Linked DNA regions of Saccharomyces cerevisiae S288C. The protein of the gene in region 2 interacts with the protein of the main gene of each other region in a pairwise test. Each region holds a gene or a part of one and is shown on either strand. Other genes may lie near its edges.

Evidence for each region. The genes of interacting proteins can lie anywhere in the genome.
Region 1: the proteins of ERG2 (region 2) and ERG24 interact in binary tests that used the Saccharomyces cerevisiae proteins (3 or more experiments, as listed by UniProt).

What each region holds. Positions count from the first base shown.
Region 1 is NC_001146.8:108,595-111,996, forward strand, and holds ERG24 (delta(14)-sterol reductase), read right to left. Parts: upstream 1,818-3,402; coding exon 501-1,817; downstream 1-500. Other genes in the region: HCH1 (Hch1p), read left to right, coding at 1-334; pheromone-regulated protein PRM1, read left to right, coding at 2,323-3,402. UniProt on the Saccharomyces cerevisiae protein: Delta(14)-sterol reductase; part of the third module of ergosterol biosynthesis pathway that includes the late steps of the pathway. ERG24 reduces the C14=C15 double bond of 4,4-dimethyl-cholesta-8,14,24-trienol to produce 4,4-dimethyl-cholesta-8,24-dienol.
Region 2 is NC_001145.3:665,861-668,705, forward strand, and holds ERG2 (C-8 sterol isomerase ERG2), read left to right. Parts: upstream 1-1,676; coding exon 1,677-2,345; downstream 2,346-2,845. Other genes in the region: DNA repair protein RAD14, read right to left, coding at 1-1,073, 1,158-1,184; TOM complex pore protein TOM40, read left to right, coding at 2,632-2,845. UniProt on the Saccharomyces cerevisiae protein: C-8 sterol isomerase; part of the third module of ergosterol biosynthesis pathway that includes the late steps of the pathway. ERG2 catalyzes the reaction which results in unsaturation at C-7 in the B ring of sterols and thus converts fecosterol to episterol.

The DNA.
Region 1 (3,402 bases), on a different chromosome or scaffold from region 2:
GTTAACCCAGGTGAGTAGCATCACCGGTGACTCCAACGTATCTCAAAGGAAGGGCAAGCCGATTTGCTACTTTGACTTACAGTTGTCGATGAACGTCAAAGTGACAAATTTGGATACTAATAAGGACGACGAGGATGATGACGGCATACTTGCGGACGGGAAACTAGAAATTCCAGAGTTTATGCATGACGAGTCTGATATTCCGATTTTGTCGCAAGGGTTTGATGCTTTTGATGGATTGGTTAGGTCTGAATTTGTCCCTAAAGTAGTGGAAACGCTACTAAAATACCAAGATGACTTGATTAAAGAACACTCAAAGGATATACAAGTTTGATGTGTTCATGTAACGAAAAGGGGAGCGTTGCATAGATAGACCACCGCCCCTTTTAATTTTTCCAGCGTTTTCAATTGTTATTCTTCTTCTTCCTCATACTCACCCAATACATAACATGTATACACACATACATAGATAATGAAGAAAATAGCAGTGGTAGAAAAACTTAATAAACATATGGAATGATCTTGTAAGGAACTTTTCTTTCGTATTCTTCCCAATTTTCGCCATATTTCAGGCGGCACTTGTGCTCATCACGTTGTTGACGGTGTAATAACAACGTGGCGAAGTACAACGAGTAGTAATATGTCAAGGGAGTTTGGAACCAGGTGGCCAAACACCAACTTAATGAAATCAGCCAATCGCCAAAGTAATTGATATGCTGTGATTTAGCCCACCACCCGTCACATAATAACTTTGTACCACGCTTTGTCTGAATACTTTTTAGATTTTCTAATTTACCTTGTCTAAACTCAGATTTTTGCTTATTTGCCGAGTGGAAGATGTGGAAACCCAAAAACATTATGGCTAATATACCGACAACTTTCACCCATCCCAATTCCACAGGGGAAACACTCAAGTAACGCGCTTGTAATGAGTAGGTGAATGGAACTAAACTTAAGTCACCAAACGCTAGCATGAAACCAAACCCATCTGTAGTGATATCCATCATGGTTAATACACCTTCCTCGTTTAGTACTCCATCGAAAATGTAAAATCCTTGCAAGAAATTAACCAAGACCAATGCATCGTTGATTTTACCAGTCTTCAGGTAATGGTGATGCAGACAGGAAAGATTGATCAGTAACCATAACAACATGCCGGGTCTCAACTCTGAAAACATCTTGATATCTAATGGGCCGAGACGAGGGTTCAGTTCTCTACCAATAAACCAATCGTAAATGATGTTTCCTGAATTTCCACCTAGTGCTAAGATCTTTTCCCTTTTGCCATTACCATTTTTCTTGAAGATCAATGGTATGAAGCTGGCAACATAGCAGTACGTCGCCAAAAAGAACGAAAACAAAATAGATATTATGCATAAACTAACGTGATTTTCATACAGATATTGCAATTCAGGCAATTGTCCATCAGTCAATTTCCATCTGATAGCCAAAACTAAGACCAAAGTTGTAGACATGGCAATTCCATTGATCTTATACGAAAGCTTCGAACCATCCCTTAACTGAACACCCTTCATGACTCTGCCCGGTAAAATGACGTCCAAAACTGCCAGTATTCCATACCACAGGCAATAGACAGTCCATAATTCACGATTGCCCAGATAGTAGCGCAATGGCTTGATACCGTTCCAAAGCTCAACTATATCGAAATTCTGGAAAAATCCCTTAATAAAATAATCGGGCCTTATCATTTGATTCAAGATGATAGTGAAAACAGGCAGCCCTATGCTGATGCCTAAGGCACCAATCAGCCCACCAAATTCAAACTCTGTAGTTCTGGGATTCAAAGCTGATACCATCCTTTTATTCTCTACACCGAATTTGTCTTTACTCCTATGCTGTTTACAAGGTCTATCTGATAAGCAATTGCGCAAGAAAATAGTAGAATGAAAACTGATTATTAAAAACAAACGTAAACTCAAGCCTCACTTGATGCTCAGACGGAGTACGTGAAAAACGTCCGTTATGCAAAACCCTTTATATGCACAACCTTCACACAATGCAAATTTCCGATGATGCCTACATACAAAAGAGCGAAAGGCGATATAAATTTTTTTCACGGGATTTTCGTTTAGGTGAAAATAAAATGAACGACAGAGCATGCAGAGTCCGGGTAATACATATGTTTCAATACTGTTTCAATACTGTTTCAGAAGTGCGTCACATATTAATTTTAACTTATAACTGGCCTGTTGCTGGCAAGAGGTATATATATATGACGAATGTGACCAACATAAGTCCTTAAGATAATCCCGAAATATTTGGTTAGGATGATTCCCTTTCGAATTTGTGAACGTTGATGATATGAGCGGTTTTAAATGCTATTTGCAATTGGGTGACAGGCTCTCTCAAATATGGCTAAATAAGTATACTTTGGTTTTGCTGCTAGCAATGCTGAAGCTTCTGTTTTTCTCCAAATCCATACAACATGCGATAGAAGTCTCGGAAACGTATATTTTGTCCAATTGTTACAGTATTGATTCACTATACTCCAAGATGACAGACAACACGCCGCACTATTTAGGTATCATGGGGAATTATCTTATCGAGAAGGGTATGGAGGAGACTGTTAAAGCTACGCTAGAGACGTTATCACTTATAGTATATGCGAGCGAGGGGCTGGTAAACTTTGCCATTGACCTGTATTTGGGCACTTATGCCTGTTTGATTGTTAGTGCCGTTGATGGTACCGTGGACGTTGCTACTAACATTACAGAAAAACTGATTAGCTTAGTCAATGATACAGTTTCAAGTGTGGCTAATGAATTGGATACGGGCTTGAATGACATCTCCAAAATAATCAATAAAGTGATCAAGGCCGCATCCAAAGTAGAGAATTTTTTCACAGGTGATGACGATGACAGTAACATGACGTCGTCAATCAAAAGCGTCAACTTAACCATATCTGCGCTTCACAATTTATACATTCCTTCCTCAATCAACGATAAGCTTGAAGAGTTATCGGCAAAGACGCCGGACTTTGCCCAGGTTAAGAATACAACCAAGAACCTGATCTCGGTTCCCTTCAATGAAGTTCGGAAGAATATCAAGGCCGTGAATGCCAGCAATATAATCGGAGATACCTCCGTTTTGTACGTACCTCCCGTGTCCCTTGACAACAGTACTGGGATTTGCTCATCCAATCAATCAGAAATTTTGGCCTTTTATTCCATCTTGGGACATGTCCTGAAAATAGCCACCGTAGTGTGCATTACCGTATTGATATGCTTCGCTGTTGGTGCGATGGCGCCCGTTGCATGGAATGAAATCAAGCTCTGGAGGCGCCTTTGCGGAATGAGAGACCATTACATGCTGAGCAGGCAAGATTCGTATACGTCCTTTTCCAGTGAAAACACGCACGAATTGAAAGATCCATTTAGAGAT
Region 2 (2,845 bases):
TCAGTTTCTAGCCCGCAGTCTGTACATCTTCTTCTTTGAATTTGATAACCGTCTTCATCAATACCTCCATCAACTGGATCACTAAAATGATGAATATGGGCTTTCCCATGCTTCTTTTCTCTTAATCTATTAGTATATTCTTGAGCTCTTGTTTTCAGTCGCATTTCCTTGATTTTCTTTTCGTATTTTTTCTCCCTTCTGTGAGCCTTTCCTTCTTCACGACGTTGCCATTCCTCATCTAAACCTTCTTCTCCACCCCATTTCTTGAACGCAAAGGCTTCCACTTCACATCTAACAAATAGTTGCATTCTTGCAAATGTCCCCGAATGAGGGTTCGGCTTTTCTAGTCTATGAAAGAGATCCTCATCATTCAATTCGGGGTCTGTTAAAAAGTAATCTTCCTTACATTCTGTTTTCGTCAGTAGTGCATACTTTTCTGGATGCTCCTTAGAACACTGTTTACAAACTTGTAACTTGAACACATCATGTAGCACAGGATCCATCTCAATATTAATATGACATTCAATACATTTCGGCGCCTTTGAAATATGCTCTGGAGGAGGTGCATTTTCGTACAGCATTTTCCGTTCAAGTTGTTCCTTTTTCCAGTCCTGTAGTGTCTTCTGCTTTTTAGATCCAAACTCAGATTCAAATTCTTGGTCATCGGTAAAGTCAGAATTTGGAAGCTTGTCCTTAGGGTTGATATAACCACCATTCAAGTTCTGCATGGTGGCAAAATCGTACTCAATGTAATCTTGTTTCCTTATGCTAGGTCTGATTCTATCCGTTGGCCTTTTGTCGAGTACCGACGCATCCCTTTTACTTCCATCAACTACTCCGCTACCATAAAGTGAAGTAGTGTTAGTGTTAGTGTTAGCAAGCGCAGACGGTTGTCCATTATGATTTGGCACATGTACTGCGGCTGCTGCATTATCATCCCGATTGCTGCCACTAGTAACTGCGAGAGGCCGGGTTTTTAAAGGTTCATTCCTACTTTCTATTCGATTCAATTGGTCGCTACTCAGTATTCCCCTTTTTCTTAACCGTTCTATTGCTAATTTCCTGTTAGCCTCCTGCACAGCTCATCTCATCGTTAAATTGTTAGTAAAAAGAAACCCACGGTTAAAATACAAACACAGAATCATTTTCACACATACTAGTTTGGCCTTTTGTTCGGGAGTCATAGCGTTACGTTCGATACCTTCACTACGAAGATCCAAACTCTTTTTCTAGTTCCGATAAATTCCTTACCTTCTTTTCACTTTCCTCTTTTCTCCCTACAACTTAGCAAACGTCAAACATGCTGTAGATAGAGCTTCTATAGAAGTACAGTTATTCAAACAAAAAAAAAAAAAAAAACAAGGGTTGTGGAGTATGCCACTAGCAGTCTGCTATGTTGATTCTGCTTATTATCAACGAAGTATCCCATTATGATCTTATGCAATGCACATTCCTGCCCTTACGCTCCAGGGCAGAATCGAACCACGGCCCTCGTATAAGCCGCAAGGAAAACTACCGGTGCTATCGTTCTCGTTTGGATGATTTTCAGTATGGAAGAATTTGGATAGATCTGCAGCGCCATGGTATATAAGAGAAAGAAGCGGTAACGTTTGACACTGGGTTCAGATCTCTCTTGTCGCTCAATCAAACTAAGACTAGCCCAGACCATTATAGCCATGAAGTTTTTCCCACTCCTTTTGTTGATTGGTGTTGTAGGCTACATTATGAACGTATTGTTCACTACCTGGTTGCCAACCAATTACATGTTCGATCCAAAAACTTTGAACGAAATATGTAACTCGGTGATTAGCAAACACAACGCAGCAGAAGGTTTATCCACTGAAGACCTGTTACAGGATGTCAGAGACGCACTTGCCTCTCATTACGGGGACGAATACATCAACAGGTACGTCAAAGAAGAATGGGTCTTCAACAATGCTGGTGGTGCGATGGGCCAAATGATCATCCTACACGCTTCCGTATCCGAGTACTTAATTCTATTCGGAACCGCTGTTGGTACTGAAGGGCACACAGGTGTTCACTTTGCTGACGACTATTTTACCATCTTACATGGTACGCAAATCGCAGCATTGCCATATGCCACTGAAGCCGAAGTTTACACTCCTGGTATGACTCATCACTTGAAGAAGGGATACGCCAAGCAATACAGCATGCCAGGTGGTTCCTTTGCCCTTGAATTGGCTCAAGGCTGGATTCCATGTATGTTGCCATTCGGGTTTTTGGACACTTTCTCCAGTACTCTTGATTTATACACTCTATATAGAACTGTCTACCTGACTGCCAGGGACATGGGTAAGAACTTGTTGCAAAACAAAAAGTTCTAAGCTGCCCGACCTCACGAAATCAGTCATGCGGTAGTCCATTATAATATAACTATTATTATTATTACTATTACTATTATTATTATTATTATTATTATCTATTGTTTATATTCTCTTTAGCTTTTTATCACCTACGACGACGGATATATTCGGCGTTTGCAAAAAGTGAAAAAGGCGTCTTTTGGTGGACATGAACTCAATCTTCAATTCTTTGAAAGCGGTGTATGCGTATAAGGCCTTTTAACCATCGTGCAAAACAATAAAAGACTACCAATAACCGACGTGAATCATGTCTGCACCAACTCCATTAGCAGAGGCCTCTCAAATTCCCACTATCCCGGCCCTTTCTCCTTTGACTGCGAAGCAATCCAAGGGGAATTTCTTCTCCTCAAACCCAATATCTAGCTTTGTTGTGGATACGTACAAACAATTGCATTCTCACAGACAATCTTTGGAGCTGGTCAATCCCGGTACCGTGGAAAACCTGAATAAGGAAGTCTCCC